Lytechinus pictus: one gene and its partner. The protein of the gene in region 1 purifies or fractionates together with the protein of each later gene. This does not show direct contact. Links are inferred from orthologs where the notes say so. Each region holds a gene or a part of one and is shown on either strand. Other genes may lie near its edges.

Region 1 (9,615 bases):
TTGTGAAAATAAACAAAACTTTAACTGTTTAAAATGTCATAACTTTCTCATTTTACTTACCATTTTGATGAAGTTTTCAGTGTTTTGCTTGTTGGATTTTTCTCTTTTTATTCAAATCAACTTTTTGTTGGGGTGGTCTTGTCCTTTAAATAAATCCCCAGAAAAGATGGCTAGTCCTGTCTTAGTGTCTATGTTAGACTTAGACCAAAAGCTTCGGTCTCTGTTATAGTGGTTGATCCGCAGAACTTTGTTGGCTCCACTCACCAATTACAGAAACCAAAGTTCTAACTCGATCTGTACAGGGACTCAATGGCCATATGTTAATAGTTCCAATAAACCAGGGAAGTGGGAGTTGCGCGACAGCCGATGTAATGCACCTATCAATTGTATGACGCACCCCTCGACCCCCGGGAATGGTGGGTCACTTGTCAAACGTGAGTCAGATTTTGTGGTACCATGACGCACATGTGTGTCTTAACAATGACGCACCTTTACTTACAATGACCCTGCCAAGAAAGAAAAAAAGTGACGCACCAGTTCAAGATTTTGACCAACCATGACCGTCTCCCTGACGCAACTTCGTCAGAGTAAAACGTAAGATTCGGAATAGACTCTAGCTCTGAAGCATGTGAAGTATGATGTCTTGTGTGTGTAAGTGCTGCGTGGCGCATAATAGAGCTATAATATGAATGCAATGGAATGCAATACGTGTATAGCGCTATTATCTGACGATGTTTCGTGGTGATAGCGGAGGCCGCCTTGAACTCTTATAAAAGGTAACCCTGTAACTGATCATCGGATCGGCAGCCGATTCATTTGTTTTCCTTTCTGATAATGTCGAAATATGCGTCATTTATATTTCTTCTCAGAAAACAAGGATTCATACGGAAAAGTACATAAAATATATTTTAACTAATTAGCACCTCAGCAAAAATGGTGTCCCAATCATTTAATCTTAGATGTTTGTGACTTCTATTTTCCTTTCCGAGGTGTTGAAATACTGCATCAATTATATTTCTTTTGGGAGAACTGGGGAGTGTTTCATCAACAATTTCATCTGACAGGTTGTCAGATCTGACATCTTTTTCTGATGTTGATTGGCTGAGAGGAACTGTTACTATGGTAACTGTTGGATAAAATGGGACTTGTCGGATAAAACGTCCGACAAGTCCTTTCATGAAACGCCCCCAGGAGTTCATAACGAAAGGTATATAAAATATATATTCCCTCGTTAGCGCCTAAAAACAATTTTAAAATATGTCTTGAAAGGTCGCACGCTAATATGAGATGTTGCCAACTTCTATTATGTTTTATTTACGTTTCCAACGTTGTCGAGAAAATGCGTCTTTAATATTTCTTCTGGGAGAATGAGAGTTCATAACAAAAGGTATATGAAATATATTTTAACTCGTTAGCCCCTCAAAACGATTTTAAAACATGTTCCGAACGATCGCGCATGTTGGCGACTTCTATTGCATTTTATTCTTTGCGACTTTGTGTTGTCAGGAAGATGCGTGCGAAAGACAACAAAATTTTGATAGATAGCTTTGTATTCAAATATCGGCGATTCCATTTGGATTTTAGAAGCTTAAAGGAGAATGAAACCCTTGAAACCAGCTGAATCCGTATCAAAGAGAAAAATCAAAGAAACATATTGTTGAAAGTTTGAGGAAGATTGAATGAATGATAAGAAAGTTATGAGCATTTGAATATTGAGATCACTAATGCCATGTAGATCCTCCCATTGGCAATGCGACCAAGATCTGTGATGTCACACACGTACAACTCGCTCATTACTTTAATACTTATTTCACTTATATTCTCACTTTTATAGAGTCTATCACAAGGCGAGGTGTTCTCTTTATGAGAGGACAAGTACAGAGGTTTCACAACATTATATCATTGATGAATCGTTTGTCATGTGATTAGAATGAGCAAAAAGAGATGTTTTGGGGTATATTTTCAGTGTTCAAAAGGGGAGAGTTGTTCATCTGTGACATCATAGATCTTGGTCGCATTGCCAATGGGAGGATCTCCTTAGCATTAGTGATCTCGACATTCAAATGCTCATAGCTCTTCTATTGCTAGTCCTATGTTACTCAAACTTTTGTTGATCTTATTCTTTGATATTTTTGCTTTCACAAAAGCTAACTTGCTCCAAGAGTTTCATTCTCCTTTAACTGCCGATCCAATTTCATTTTGATCCGATTTTATACAACATTTTAATACCCGTTTGTATCACTGAGGCATCATGACGCACCCAGGTAAAATGACTGACATTGACGCACCCCAATCCTCAAACTGTGATAGACCAAATGTTTCAATGACGGGGTTACACTTCGTAATTCCGAAGGTTCTTTATTCTGAAGGTTCGTAATTCCGAAACACGTAAATTGCCTATACCTCGATGTTCGTTAATCTGAAAACGTAAAAGGGTTTGTTTATCCGAACATTTGTGGCGTTATTCCGAAGGTTCGTTAATCCGAAAACGAAATAAGGTACGCTGTTCCGAAGGTTCGTAAATCCGAGAACGAAATAAGGTTCGTTGTTCCGAAGGTTCGTTAGTCCAAACACGAAATAAGGTTCATTAATCATTTCATTTTCGGACTAACGAACCTTCGGAATTACGAACCTCATTTCGTTTTCAGATTAACGAACCTTCGGAATTACAAACCTCACTTCGTTTTCAGACAAACGAACCTTCAGAATTACGAACCTCATTTCATTTTCGGACTAATGAACCTTCGGAATATCGGAACCTTCGGAATAATGAAGCTTCGGAATTACGAATGTATGTGCCATGACGGTACCCTGCGTCGCTAATCTGTTGGTAAATGACCCTACCATGACACACCATTCCCGGGGGTCGAGGGGTGCGTCTTACAATTGATAGGTCATTAGGTGCATAAGTCACTGTTGTTTTTCCTTTTAAGTTTATATTTTCCTCTTTTTGTGCATTTCAGGTCAAAACGGAATAGGGTCCTAGACCTAGACCCTAAAGGCCTAGATCTAATAATCTTTATTTTGGTCCATGTCCAGTTCTTTTTATATATTTTTATGGAATAAAGAAAAAAAAATGATGAGCCCCGTCGGGGGGATTTTGCATTGTTAATCCCCTTATGGGAGCTGCACGATCGCGAGCCGTCTGTGTACGAGAAGTAAAAATAAGAAATGTAAAAAAACTCCTCGAAACAGACGGCTGCCAGCTGTCTATGACTATGTTAGACTCTGTTCGTGCGCCTAGCCCTAGGCTTAGGCTAAGCTAGAAATGCTGTTTCACTTTCATATTTTTGGCATTTATCCTGGTTCGAGTCACCAATCCATTCACTGCCGTTTATTTCGTCAGCGCTGGTGACTTCGTTCGTTGTTGTTGTGGGTCATTTCCACACCCAAATGATCTCCTCGCCCTCGGTCAATCACACGTATTGCGAGGTTAGTATTATTATATTAGTATACGAACCCTCGGTATACTTCTTTCAACTCCCATGATTCACGTTACACAACGCGTACGCACACACCGACATTACTCATTAGTCTATTTAGAGACTACATTCACGATAAGGCCATTTTTTTTTGGGGGGGGGAGTATATTTTGACCCCTAAAATCATGCTTACGTTAGACTTAGAGTCTTGAGTCTAACGTTAATTTATATCATTGGCCTATATGTATGTATGGAACTCCAAGTCTAAGTCTCACTCTCTCACTACCAGTAGGCCCGAACAGACTAGAGGCGACACCGAGTCAGCCGTGCGAGCCGGAGCGGCGGGGACAAGAGGCGATCGCGAAATATAGCATGCGAAATCGTCGATCACCGCTTAGCTTTGCACTCGGACTCCGAGGACCGAGTCGGAGTAAAAAATTGCATTAAAAAGTCGTCTAGATTTTACTTCATTTGTTTTGCTGTTCACTCACACACACACACTCAGAATATATGATTAAAAAACATTACTTTACCAATATTATATAGTCCTAGATCTAGCTATGCCTATGTCAGCGATGAGAAAATCCGGCTTGGGATTCCACGTCGGTTTAATAGCGCTTCCGGGTTAAGTGGAATTCGAGGGGGGGGGGGGTGGATCTCTCACTGGATCACTTGATTGGGTGTCAATTTCTCGGGGGGGGGGGTTCTTTAGTAGGCTTAAAGGAGAATGAAACTCTGGGAGCAAGTTAGCTTTTGTGAAAGCAGAAAAATCAAAGAATAAGATCAACAAAAGTTTGAGTAAAATGGGACTAGCAATAAAAGAGTTATGAGCGTTTGAATGTCAAGATCACTAATGCTATGGAGATCCTAACATTGGCAATGCGACCAAGATCTATGATGTCACAGATGAACAACTCTCCCCTTTTGGACACTGAAAATATACCCCAAAACATCTCTTTTTGCTCATTCTAATTATATGACAAACGATTCATCAATGATATAATGTTGTGAAACCTCTGTACTTGTCCTCTCATAAAAAGAACACCTCACCTTGTGATAGACTCTATAAAAGTGAGAATATAAGTGAAATAAGTACTAAAGTAATGAGGGAGTTGTACGTGTGTGACATCACAGATCTTGGTCGCATTGCCAATGGGAGGATCTACATGGCATTAGTGATCTCAATATTCAAATGCTCATAACTTTCTTATTATTCATTCAATCTTCCTCAAACTTTCAACAATATGTTTCTTTGATTTTTCTTTTTGATATGGATTCAGCTGGTTTCAAGGGTTTCATTCTCCTTTAATGTATAAATATATATGTAGTAGAGAGAGTGAATAAAACTAACTGTGCTATACAGCTAGGGGCGGCGGAACGGTTTTCAAGGTGGTTGGGGGGGAGGGGGGGCTGAGTCAAAAGTGGGGGGCTGACCATGCAAAAAAATCAAAATCATATATATGGTCATTTTTACGTTTTTTTATACACGGTTTTGGAAAAAAAAGTGGGGGGCTGAAGCCACCACCAAGCCTCCCGCTTCCGCGGCCCCTGTTATAAATGCTTATCTTTTTCTCAAAATTTGAATATAAATTATATAGCTTGCCATGCAGATATGAGATCCTCACCTATAGGCTTGTATAACCGCTTGTAAGCTGTAGAGTACCGGTTTTTAGTAGGCCTATTTTGAATTTGTGATGGAGCTAATCCCGAAGCTGATTCCTTTTCGGTTCATTAACTTGTTAGTTGTTTATATTTCGCCTTACTTTAATGATTTTGTTGAAAATTTGAAGCTGAAGTGAACTGAATTCGTCATCAATCAATCGGCAATTCAATCAATCAATGAATCATTCAACCAATCAATTAATCAATCAATCAATCAATCAAAATAAACATATATAAGCTAGACTTTAGGATCCGTTTCCTAATTACTTTTTCGCCTGATCATGATAAGTCAGATCTGACAACTGAGTCGATTTATGATTTCTATTCGAGGGTTCTACACACTCATAAACCTTTGTATTTTCATGGATCCCTCCTTTTTCCCTAGCTTGTACAGTGGTTATTAAAGGCCTACACAGTGGCGTACCTAGGATTTTCCACATGGGGGGGCAAAACCGTCCACCAAAAAATTTGACAAGCAAAAAAAAAAAAAAAAAAAAAAAAAAAAAGTCTTCGATCACAAATAAAGGATTTCGTACCAGAAAAAAATTGACAAGCAAAAAAAAAAAAAAAAAAAAAAAAAAAAAAAAAAGGTCTTCAAGCTCGTCAGGGGGGCATTAAAGGTCTTAAAGCTCGTCAGGGGGGGGCAAAAAAGGTTTCTCAAGCTCGTCAGGGGGGGGGCAAAGATACGTTTTGCATGGGTTGTGACTCGTCAGGGGGGGCAGAGTGCCCCCCCCCTGCCCCCCCCCCCCCCGTAGGTACGCTAGTGGGCCTACACCAGAATTATATAAAAAGGTGTTGAAATTCCGCCATCTTTTTTTCTAAATTGAGAAGTCAGCTAGACCATTTCTGTTATACCCAACTTTATGTTCACATGGTATGTTATCATGAAAATTTAGTTTCGCACGAGAATATTGCAATATGGGAGAATAAAAAAAATGATTTTCTTGCAGTGGACCTAACCCCCTTTGCAACCAAACTCTTCTGAAGCGCTTATTTGTCAAAAGGGGTTAGGTCCATAAATAAAGTGGCAAAGTAAAATCACTGTTTTTATTCAAAAGAGATTGGATTCGTTTCAGTTTGCTTGCGAAAGGTCAGTCCACAAATAATTTTTTTTTTTAATAATTTTTTTTTAATATATTAAAAAAATTGAAGACAGGTAGATTTCTTTTATACCCAAATGTATGTTTACATGATAAGATTGTACACCATGACAACATTATTAAAGGAGAATGAAACTCTTGGAGCAAGTTAGCTTTTGTGAAAGCAGAAAAATCAAAGAATAAGATCAACAAAACTTTGAGTAAAATAGGACTAGCAATAAAAGAGTTATGAGCATTTGAATGTCGAGATCACTAATGCTATGGAGATCCTCCCATTGGTAATGCGACCAAGATCTGTGATGTCACACACGTACAACTCTCCCATTTGGACACTGAAAATATACCCCAAAACATCTCTTTTTGCTCATTCTAATCATATGACAAACGATTCATCAATGATATAATGTTGTGAAACCTCTGTACTTGTCATCTCATAAAGAGAACACCTCACCTTGTGATAGACTCTATAAAAGTGAGAATATAAGTGAAATAAGTACTAAAGTAATGAGGGAGTTGTACGTGTGTGATATCACAGATCTTGGTCGCATTGCCGTTGGGAGGATCTACATGGCACTAGTGATCTCAATATTCGAATGCTCATAACTTTCTTATTATTCATTCAATCTTCCTCAAACTTTCAACAATATGTTTCTATGATTTTTCTCTTTGATATAGATTCAGCTGGTTTTAAGGGTTTCATTCTCCTTTAAGTTTTTCATAAGAATATTGCAATAAGTGAGAATAAAAAAACATGATTTTTCTCGAAATAGTCCAAAGTGGACCTACCCCCTTTTGCAACAAAACTCTTCATATACTGAAATCAGTTTGGAGCTTTTTTTATCACAATCAAACAATAACTTTGTTTGTATGGAATTCATTTTTAAATTCTTTCTAAATGCCCAATTTATTCTATCATTTTAGTAACATATTTTTAATTTCGTTTTTAGTAAAAGGTTAAATCCATCTAGAGTACTTGAATTCCACTCACATACAGGACACATATCTACGTCACTTTCTCGTTCTCCATTTGATGTTTCATTTTCATACCATAAGAGCTGCTTATAATATGATGAACATAAAGAATACATTTAATGATGAGGTTCGCACTTAGAAGGAAATATCAAGTGTTTACATTTCCGGAAGTACACAATGAACACAACAGACCATGTATGGTATCGCTTACAGACGGGTAGTTGTGTGTTAGTTTACTTTATATCAATCTTTCATAATCAATAAGTAATGATTTGAGGTCTTAAACAGACACACTGGCTTATTATTTACTGCAGCAAGAGATTAATCATACGCTGTTCTTTCGTTTTTGCATTTACACTTGTGGCAAAATATATCCATCTCTGCCACCATCGTCATCATCACCACACCATCATCGTCGTCGGCATTATATCGTAGTCGTCACCGCTACCAGCACCACAACCTAGAAATTGAGCAGGTTAAAGGAAAGTGACCACTGTCGGTGATATGTTCTGATTGTGGGCTAGCGATTTTTTTTTTCTTCTTGAACTCAGAATTTTCGATATGCTTTTGGTGAACTCGCCTTGTCGAATAATGCGATACCCCATTGTCGTCATATCATCCTTATGGAATATAGGTAAGTTGGGAAAATAGTATATAATTAGACACAATATTCTAATGTATCACTATGAACAAAAAGCCAGAGAGTTGATTGCATTTACTGGAGTTGTGATTAATCATAAGTGACAATAATAATAGGAATAGTTTTTTTTTTTTTTGTGTGCGGGTATCACATTTCAGCGGCACTAATATATTGTCAATTTTGTTCCAAGTGGTACTTTTATCATTTATTTTTTCTTCTTTCAAATTGAAAATAATTTTTAGCTCCCCACAATGGTCATAATGGTTGTATTTTCTTTCATTCAAAACTGATGATTGAATCACATCACCGAATCAATTGTTTTCATCTCCCTCCAGCCCCCTCTCTATTTTATGTGTGTTCTCTACCCCCTCTATCTCACACACACACACACACTCACCCACACTCCCTCACACCCACACACACGCACGCACAGCCTCAGTGGACACATCCACCACACACATCTAGCTAGCCATGTTACTTATAACTCTACGATGTTATTCAAAGGACTCTGCATTTCCAACATAATTTGCATATGCTTGATTCCTACTGTGTATTATTATCATGAATAAAACATTATATTATATTCTGTCAATTTGTTTTTTTTCCATTATGCATGGTTAATAATCAAACAAACAAACATAATTTTACGCGCACTATTATATTCTGTCAATTTGTTTTTTTTTCCATTATGCATTGTTAATAATCAAACAAACAAACATAATTTTACGCGCACTATTATATTCTGTCAATTTTTTTTTCCATTATGCATGGTTAATAATCAAACAAACAAACATAATTTTAGGCGCACTATTGGCTTCCTCACACACGATTTACCCCTCTACCAATCTTGTGTCTTTCCCACATAGGCCTACACATACTATATAAATTAGTGACACAACCCCCTCCTACACAAACATGCACATCTCCCGACTTCTGGCCACTCAAAATGATGTGCCACCAACTCGCCCCTCCCCCTCTCCCGATATTTTGTCTTTTACCCCAGAGCTCTCTCCCTCTCTTATACACCAACACCCAGATTAACCGTAACGCCCCACAGCCGCATCCTTTTCCCTACAATTTGCCATTCATCCTCTCCAAACCTTTTTGTCTTTCCCTTTAATATACACTCTCACCAGTGGCGTAGCTACGGATGGGGGGCCTGGGGGGGGGGCACGTGCCCCCCAGGTGCCCCCCTGAAAAAAATTGGCGAAGCAAAAAAAAAAGGAGAAAGATGAAAAAGAAAAAAAGAAAAAGAAGGCGAAAGACAGAAAGAGAAGAAGATGAAAATAAGAGGAGGAAGACGAGTGAATATAATAATGTTGGGGGAAGACTTCTAAAAAAAATCTTTCATGCTACTAAATAAAATTTTCGCTCGCGCTTCGCGCTCGAATTGCCTGTTCGATGAGATTCACATCTTGCTCAATAAGCTGATATGGAGCTTAAAATATCAAGTTTTTGAGTCAATATTCAAAACATATTTCAGCTCGGACATCAAGCTTTCATTATTTTTTTTTCCATTTACAAATTTATTGCACTTTGTAAAATGTCGGTTAATATGGTCTACATATCAACATTTTAAGCTCACGCTGCGTGGTCGCATTATTTGATTTGCCAAGTTCCTATTGTCTTCGTGTATTCCATAAAGTTCTCGAAATATCAATTTTCAGATGTTACTGTCAAAACGCCTATAAGTTAGCGCTGCACACTCGCATTTTGATTGGCGAGTACCATATATCAGTTCTATATTATGTAAATTAGGCAAACAAAACTCCAGGCCTTTTCATTACACTTATTTAAAAAATTCAGCTCGCGATTTGCG
Region 2 (9,860 bases), on another chromosome or scaffold:
ATGATAATGTTATTATTACCCCACCTTTAACATGGCGCTCGAGCATTCAGGAAATTATATTCAAGAAAACAACTCCAAATTTGTAAACTGGAATGAATGTGATACAAACATCCTGATGACTGATAATATAAATTATTCATTGACTTCCATCATTACAATGTGTAGATTTATTGCAAATTTTTACAGAAGGTCAACATAAAATTATAGATGATAAATCAAAGGATACAATATACAGAAAACTGCTTGCACTCTTCACTGCAAAGAAAAAGAGAGAGAGATGAATGTTCAACGTCAAATAGAAACATTATTTCATCACAACCATGCCTGACAACAATTACAGGAGGAAAAAAATGAGAAAGAAAAGTTTAAAACTAAAAAGTATTGAAATCCATTTGCATCATTTTGGAGACCTGTTTGAATTTTGCAAGGATCATAGTCATTGGTTTTGTAACATTTATGAGAGACAGGAGCTTCTAACCAGACTAAGTTGCATATTACAAGGAAGCAACACTACAGCCAGATGTTAGTGCTTGCAAGCGATGTCTGGATACCCCTTTCTGAGACTGACCTTTAAAAAGATTTTTGTCAATAGGGCTATCTATAGTTTAACCATAGAATTAGACCCTTATTTGAGTTAACACCAGAGTTTACAATACAGGCATAATACTGGACAGGGACAAAATCCCTCGACCCTGTTACAAGTGAACAATCAATTTCACATCCTATAGATACATGTAGTGTGAAATGCAGAAACTGGAAAAAACAAATTGAGTCCAGTTGACATATTTTTACCCAGTACATCACCTAATCTACCTTGATGGTTGAGAACATTCTTAGACATAACTAAATTGTTGCTAGAGTACTTTTAATGGTATCCTGATCAGTTATGTGTTTGGATCTAGCCTGCTTTCCTTCCATGAAGTCTTTGTCTGCAAGTCTTACATATATACATTGACACACTACATGTAAGATCTTCATGAATCATTTGCCTCAGTTTTCTAATTCTCATGAAAATCTGTAATGATCTCAAATGACTAATGACTTGGACAATTCACAAAGTGAAAAGAGAATGAAGAAAAATGGGCATCGGATGGACAAAAAGGTTGGTTATTTCACGGAATTGCCCCTTTTAAAATGTAAATTGATTCCTACCTATCTGCTTGGAATCGCATGACAACGATCCCTGATTCTTGGCAAGTTTTGTTGACTGCATCCTCCTCCCATGTAGCATCCATCTTCTGGGAATCCTCATTTGACCCTGGTAAATTAAAATGACAAAAGTTTGGTACAAATATGAAAACCATGTTAAATACAGAAAGACAACATGTACTGTTGGTGAAGTGATGCATCAAACTATCATCACCAAGGTTGCTTTCTAGGATGGTGAGAAAACTTCACCCATGTCAGAAACAATTGTGCCATCAGGCCAGTATCACCAACCAGACAATTGAAACATTGCCCTTACTCAGCAAATGATGTGTCCTACATGTACTCTGCCGATGAACGTTACCAATACTTGGTATTAAAAGGAAGTTTCTAATATATTTGTACTTGGTATCATTCCATTTTTAAAGTGGGGTGATATTAGTGTTATCAAATTGAAGAGGGTTGGCATCTTAACATAGCTCTGTTAATGCACAGAGGCTTCAAGACTGCAGCTGAGTCAATGAACTTATGCGCTGGATCAATGCGAGTCTGCCCATGCTCAACATGGTTGTATACTAATTATATTGGATATTTCAAATCAGCAAAATACAATTTACTACTCATTACTTCGCACTTCCAGAAGTGCGAAGCGTACTTAGCACTTCCAGAAGTGCGTTATTCGTGAAGATCTTACTAAAATGAAGAAATTTCAGGAGGAAAATATTTCACATATTTTGAAGGATTTATAGATTCTTTCATCCCATATAAAGATTTGGAGCAGGGTAAGAATTAAGTTTGCTTTAGCAAAATTTAGAATGTTAAAAACCAACGATTAACAAAAACGTATGAAGGTTCAAGAACAGAGTAAATTTACTGTGGACTGCCCGTCAAATGAGTCTTAAGGGGGGGGGGGGGCCCACTTACATTGACGAGTGGATACCATGTGCAACCCCCAAAAACTTGTAAAAAGGATGTCTTTTTCAAGATACTGTAGGGCACGTTGTCGTTACGTACATAACGTAATAAGGGTGTCAAAACGCTAAAATAATGAAAAAAAAGGTTGCTTGGAAAGCTACGTGTTTAGGGTCAAATTCGCGAGGGTATAAAAAAGACTAAAATGTTTTATTTTTGCCCCGTCAACACTACGTGTTTAGAGTCTGATTTACGCGAGGTGTGGGAGGTTGGGCCGTATACCCAATGTAGGTAAAGGTAAAACCAACGACAGACGTCCGTGACATAACTAAAATATCGCTGTACTTGTTTAGAGGTTTTATTCAGGGAATACTTGCCAAGGGTATCGTTTTGTTTCCATTACTTGTTAAGGGTAGTGTTTCAGTCACACGCCAATACTTGTTAAGGGGTGCATTTTCAGAATATGGAAAATACTTGTTTAGGGTACTTTACGAGACCCCATGGTCGCGCATGGTATCCACCCGTCAATGGAAGTGCCCCCCCCCCCTCCCCGGAGTCTTAAAGAACAACTAAGAAATCTTTGTCAAAAATTGGTGAATCAGAACATCAGAAGTTTCGTCCTACCGGTAACTTTCGATGCTGATAACAAAATTGCAAATACATTGTTTGTCCAGATACAACGACTATATCTAGATCATTTACAATTTGCTGTTTTGATTCATGAATTTTTAACAAAAACATATTTGTTGACTTTGTTCTTTGTCTTGACGGGCAATAGACAACCCATTTACTCTGGTCTTGAAGATCATGTATGAGGCTATGTTGCTGATGTTTGCCTACTAAGTACTAACAAACCCGCATGCACCTTTGTCATTGACATGGCGCTAATGAAATTTCGTGCCGGCCAAATTTCCCCTCTAGTACATTTTGTAATGGTTCGCAAATGTCACAGCAAGTCTCTCAATCAATTCAAGGTCAATATACGTATCGCTTTTCAGAATATTGCGATCGGTTGGATCTCAAGGTCATTGTTGAATTCTAATTCAGACATTGCTTTGCTTGGCAATGCTTGGTTTTCCCTTAATTTTGATATGGAATGAAATTAGCAACCAAATGATTAGACAGGAATAACCGTCGTTTCTGGGGATTTATTCAACAATTTCTGACATTTTACTATAATCCCCATACTATGTATTGGTGAGTGAGCCAACGCAGTTCAGCGGAACAACCAAAATACAGAGACTGAAGCTTTTGGTCTACCAAATGATCTGCCTGTGGCAGCTGTTTGTTCACGTTCATATTTTGGTCGCTAACTTAAGCGAAATATCAAAATAATGGTGAATCAAACTCTAAGCAACGTGATGTCTGAGATTACATCGAGATCGATCAATCAAAGCTGATCATTCCTGATCGCGATAGGCCTAGATCTATTCGGAAAAGCGAACAATACTGGTGGGGAAATTCTCTCAAAAGTCAAAGTCAGCCATGGCAAAACTGCATTACCGGCAATTTATCGCCATTGACATTAGATCCACTTGTTAACGTTAGACCCCTATTTTATTTTTCTACAATCAAACAATCTTTTGTCTTTGAAGTTTGACTTTGGTGAGTTTCAAATTTACCAAAAAAAGGGCAATGCAGATTGCAGTTTTGCTCAATTGACTTGACTCTTGAGATACAATTTCACAATTTTCATTTCGATTTTTCATATTATCTACACATCTTGTAAAATAATGAGAATGAAATCATACAGGGAACAATTTGGAATGTCCACAATTTCATGATTTTGTATGTCTATAGATCTAAGACTAAATTGAAGGAAGTCACAGCACGAGGAGCTCTGCCATGCACATCCACGATCCACATCACAGCGGAATGCCGCCGCGCCCTGGAGCTGGCGACACCGGGTAGCTCCGGTAGCTCACGGGTTGCAACCCCCGCATGCAGGGATGACATTGCGAAAACAATACTGCGCGAGTTTACCTCGAATGTATACCATAAATACACTTTTCTGCTGCCTGGCCTGGGCAATAGCACTAGAAATCTGTCCTTCAAACCACTTCATTGTAGTTTCCACTCCTATTTGTGCTTGAGAAAAGTTAGAATAACGTTCAATACCGGTACTTGAAATAAGAAATAACCTCGGAAATTTTCTCAAAAAATATCGACTGTCGACACGTAAATGTTAGGCTCATTTCAGCCGTTTATATTAATTTTCTGATTCGACCACAGCTGGCTAGAGTGCACCACTCCCCTTATACCCCTTCTTTCAGATTCTCATATCTCACACATTGATTTCTGTTTTGTAAGTCACGATTGCGGGGTATATGATCTAACTGGTGTGATGAATCGGAGGCTGAAGTTGACGATGTTGTGATATATTAGCCGGGAAATTGATGAGATCAGTTTTGGTCCCGGGTTTTGGTTTCTTGAGCAAATTTTATTAATTATTAACTTGAAATTCAATGCATGAGTGAACATAATATATTGCAATTTAGTGCAGCATTTTAACTGTTTCATGTCATCAGCTTTCAATAGGGGGTAAAATAAGGACTTCGGTCATTTAAGTAGGTTGATGGCATGAGTGAACCATGCACTGGCCTCCATGGCCTCTATACCAGGGGCGTCGATCCATTTTTCAGATTGCATGGGGGGGCAAAATCATGAATCAAATTTCCAAAGGCGCTCGATCACACAAAACAAACTCACACACACACACACACATATGCCTATATATATATATATATATATATATATGACTCATGAGATATCTCATCAACAAATTAATGCGAGCGCGAAGCGCGAGCTGAAATTTTTTAGTATACTGACCTGATAACAGGAAAAAGGTGCCTGTTTAGGACTCTTTGTAGTAGTAACTCCTGAGGAGAATACATATCTTAATACACAAATAATGCGAGTGCCGAGAGCGAGCTGAAATTTCTTTATATTCTGACCTGAAAGCTTGATATTCTAAGCATTTTTGGTACCAATGATTAAGATGGGTATCTAAAAAAAAAGCAAAAGATGCGAGCGCGAGCTGAAAATTTTGATATTTCGATCTGAAAAAAAAATTGAGTTTAGTGGACGTTTTTAATACAGAACAAGATATATATTCAACAAAAGATTATTGCATATCGAAGCGTTAGTTCTTTTGAGGTTTAGACCTGAAAGCGGGACATTCTATTTACCTATTTAATCATTGAAAAGTATGAGTTTTTGCTACAGAAATGATGCGAGCGCGAAGCGCGAGCTGAAAATTTTTATATTCCACTCTGAAAAGCTGACATTTTGAGCACGATTTTAAATAAAGAACGAGTTGTGTATCTCAATCTCGCTTGCTGATTTCTGTGTAATATTACAATCTTATTTTATTTTTTGCACATGCAGAATTATTGGGGGGGGGGGCAAAACGATATGTTTGCCCCCCAATATTTTCATTGGTGGGGCGATCGCCCCCCCTGCCCCCCCCCCCCCCCCATGATCGACGCCTCTGCTCTATACTCGTGGACTGAACATGAAATTGATGAAAATGCATTTAAGTGTCGGATTTTAACTTTATCATGAGGATCTCAGCAGTGTGTTCGTGAGAACGGCGTACGTGACTGAGAGTCAGGAGAATGTGATATATGTCGACATATGTTGCATGCAACTGATGCAAGGGGCAAGATATTCGGGGGTAAGACTGGTTAAACGGACATTCTAAATCTTCGTGTTTAAACCCCCACCTCCACCTCCATGCACCCCCCCTCTCCTCTCCCTGTCTCAGTTCCTGGCTGGTGTTCAAATCTTTACTGCTCAAGTGACCGATGGTTGATGGGTCATTTTTTTATTTAAGAAGTTGATCTTATTAAAAATAATTTATTGAAAATGTTGAACGATGAGTGAATGTTTGATCAGATAAATTGTTGATTAAATGATTGATAGATTAGAGTTGATGCCCTAATTTTCAGAAATATAACAGCCCGTTCTGAATTTCATATGCGTTCATCAGTCTCCAGCAGGAAGAGAGAGAGAGGGGGGAGGGGGGGCTAAATGTTCTGTTGACTCTTATCACGGAAACCTAATTCACCCACTCCCATGAACACACTGCTGAGATCCACATGATAAAGTTGAAATAAACATAAACATAAACTTTGCAATTCATATTTATGAAATTTGCTCAACAAGCAAAACTGCTCACGAGTTAATTTTTCACAACACCCTCAACTTTGCAAGTTGAAAAGGACTCGAATTTCAAAGACTGAAATAAATTGGAAGGCTAATTTCTGTCCAGTTTTAACCCTTTATTTAAGTGGGCATGCAGTGCTCACTCAAGCATGAATAGTTTTCCAAATTTTTGGTGTCATTTGAAACTTGACTTTATTGGCTTTCTATTATATAGATCCCCCAGTGATTTTTTTATTTGGCAGCCATTTCAAAAGTGTATAATGTATAGACGCACTGTTATGCTATACTTTTTTTAAGCATCCTATTAATACTCCTGCTGTTTAAAGTGTTCCAAAATAACAAAGGAAGAAGAAGAAGAAGAAGGAGAAGAAGAAGAATTAAGAAGAAGAAGAAGAAGAAGAAGAAATGCATAAAAGAAGATCGAAGAACTAGAAGAAGAAGAAAAATATGATTATGATTGCACCTATTGTATAGATGACAATCAAACAAAGGTATTATTAGGATTACAACAACAACAACAACAGCTGCAAGAACAAACAAGAACAACAATAATGATGATGATGAATGATAATTATAATAATAGTTTTGCTTTAGTGATAATAATAATAATAATAATGATGATGATGATGATGATAATAGATTTTAGATTTTAGATTTAGATTTTATTTCCGTTCAACAATTTTTTCAAAATATAATCAAAGTAACAATACATATTCAATATAATCGATAATACAGACAAATCAATGAAATTTCGTAACAAATGTTGAATATAAATTAAACAAAACTACAATTTGTTGCAGTAATATTATCAATGAAAAGAAACAAGAAATGAACGGAGGGACTTGCCAAGAAAAGCAAAAGCTTGTAGAGAAGGCAAGCCCCTAAACTTAGTTTCAATACTAATTATAAACAAACTATATATACAACTCTATACAAAAATCGAGACGGACACAGAAGACAACTTAAAACAAGTAATCCACAAATATAAAAATAAAACGAATAAGCGACAACAAAAATAATAGAAAGTAATTCAAATAATAATAATTACAGTGGTAACACAAAAAAAAGTACTTACAAAATCATAATAGGGAGGGAAAAGTGGCAAAGGAAAGAAAGAGGGAGATAAGGGAGGTGCAAATAAAAAGTGCAAATGAAAAGAGGAACATGGCAGGTGCACAGGTCGTAATGTATTGTATCATGTTGTAGTGTTTTTTTTTTTTTTTTATAAGTAAAGTTTAACAAATTTATTGGCAGTTAAAGGTTAAGTTATTATGTAGTTTTAGTTTAGGTTATGTGTTAACTTGACTTGTTGGTGTGGAGTATTGACAAATGAGCATCTTTTTAAGTTTGCGTTTAAAAATATTAAGGTTTGTAGATTCTTTAAAGTCGTTGGGCAGGGAATTCCAATACACAGGTCCAAAAAAGATAAAAGAGTTTTTCGCTAATATAGTACGGGTAGGGGGTAGGTGATAACAATTACGTTGTCTCGTTGGGTAATCGTGTATAGAGGAGTTTTTACAGAACATATTTGAAAAAAATTGTTGGGAGATCATCTTTGTTTAGTTTATACATAAATTGGGCGAGTTGGAAAAGATATAAATCACTCACTTTAAGAATATTATTTTGGAAGAATAGTATATCTGTGTGTGATCTGAATTGGGTTTGAAAAATTATTCTAAGAGCCTTCTTCTGCAGCAACAGTATTCTTTGTAATTGTGTTTGGATCGCGCAACCCCATGCCAAAATGCCATAATTAATGTATGGTAATATTAATGTATGATACAGTGTAAGTAAAGTGTGAGATGGGAGAAAATATTTGAGTTTGTTGATAATTCCGATGTTTCTTGAAATTGTTTTGCATGTATTATTGATGTGTGGTTTCCATGATAGCTTATTATCAATAGTAACCCCCAAAAATCTTGTCTCTGAAACATTTTCAAAGAACAGTATTATCAAAAATTATGTAATAATATTATGTAATAATAATAATAACTAAAAATAATAATAATGATAATAAAAATAATGATAGTAATGATATTGAATAATAATAACAATGATAATAATGATAATAATAATAACAACAATAATGATGATATTATTAATAATAATAAAAATAACAATAATAATGTATATATATTCACATAAAACATATTATTTTTTTCATTACTATCGTGCAGTGGGGGATAGACAGGGTCCTCCCATCCATCGGGATACCATGTGGCATGCCCGAATGCTGCATGCCCATGCAGTCCGTGCCAGTAGCGTACCGTGACTCGGAGGAGACAAAGCATTGGGGGGGCAAAGCATTGTTCACAGACAATGCAGTGCCCCCCCCCCCCCAATGCTTTGTCTCCTGCGGTTCACGGTACGCTACTGCCCACTGGGCAATTTGTTACCGATTACCAATTTTACCGGTTATTACCGGTAATATCACCCGGAAATTTGAGTAACACCAAATATTACCGTTATTACCGAAATTATAATTCCTGTTGATACCTGTTACTGTTATCACCCTGATGAAACCTACATTTACCTAGTTACAACAGGGTGATGAGGGGTAATAAGGGTAATGTTGAATGACTTTGATTGGTTATAACATTGCAAACTTTAGTAATAAGAGCAATCTTACAGCAATCCCAGCGAAATTTTCAAAGTCCAAAAAATTACTGTTATCACCCTGATGAAACCAACATTTTACCCAGTTACAAACAGGTTGATAAGGGGTAATGGGTAATGTTGAAACGCTTCCATTCCCAGACAGCAAAGTATCTGGATCACATACGGTTCTTATCTGGGATATCTGGGTCCCATATGGGCCCACATGGAACCCAAATGAAAACATATACTTGAACCCACATGGTGCCCAGATAGGACTCAGATGGAAACGAGACCTCCTACCCATGCGGAACCCATTAATATTGGGTAAATGGAGTAATATCAGATGGTAATATCAGGAAAATGCTGGGAATATTAGTTACTCATGAATATTCATTACTACAATAAATGGCCAAAATTTTAGCTAATATAGCTGTAATAATTAATGTGTTTATGTTTATGCAATTATTCCACCCAGAAAATTTTCAGAAAAATGTGTAGTTTATATATCATATTAGTCATAATCATGACATTAATTTTAGAAAAATGTTTTAGGTTTGAATAATTGTTAACCATAATTTGTCAAGTGTTGTAAACTCGCTCAATATATAGAAGTAAATGACAGGGTTTGGTGGATAGGTGTAGGATAGGATTAGGATTAGGATGTAGGATTTTAGGATAGGATAAAATGATATGGCTTAGAGTATGGAGTTGTAAAAATGTGCTTCAATTACCCTAATGACACTAATTGTTTTTTTAATGAGCCGACATTAATTGGGTAATATTGGGTAAACAGAGTAATATGAGGTGGTGATATCATTAAAATGCTGGAAATAGTAGTTACATCATACTGAGAAATATTGGGTATAAATGGAGTAATATCAGGTCCAGGTAATAAGAGGGAAGGATTGGTCTACTATTTCCCTGTTATTACCCACTGTTGTTACCGTAGTAATATCCATGTTATTACCTGTTACAACCCGGGTAATGTCAGGTAAAATGCCCAGTGGGTGGTCCGTGCCCAGTTTTGTTAATTTTGA

Evidence for each region.
Region 2: the proteins of ubiquitin conjugation factor E4 A-like (region 1) and UBX domain-containing protein 4-like purify together in Homo sapiens (affinity purification with mass spectrometry; 3 studies listed by BioGRID and IntAct, counting the BioPlex papers as one, with this or other methods). This does not show direct contact. The link is inferred for Lytechinus pictus from reciprocal best matches to the Homo sapiens genes UBE4A and UBXN4.

Annotation. Positions count from the first base shown.
Region 1 is NC_087252.1:12,360,243-12,369,857, reverse strand, and holds the start of ubiquitin conjugation factor E4 A-like, read right to left. Parts: upstream 4,050-9,615; 5' UTR 3,956-4,049; intron 1-3,955.
Region 2 is NC_087247.1:7,110,608-7,120,467, reverse strand, and holds the start of UBX domain-containing protein 4-like, read right to left. Parts: upstream 4,261-9,860; 5' UTR 4,124-4,260; coding exon 4,042-4,123; intron 1,259-4,041; coding exon 1,153-1,258; intron 256-1,152; coding exon 227-255; intron 1-226. UniProt on the Homo sapiens protein: Involved in endoplasmic reticulum-associated protein degradation (ERAD). Acts as a platform to recruit both UBQLN1 and VCP to the ER during ERAD.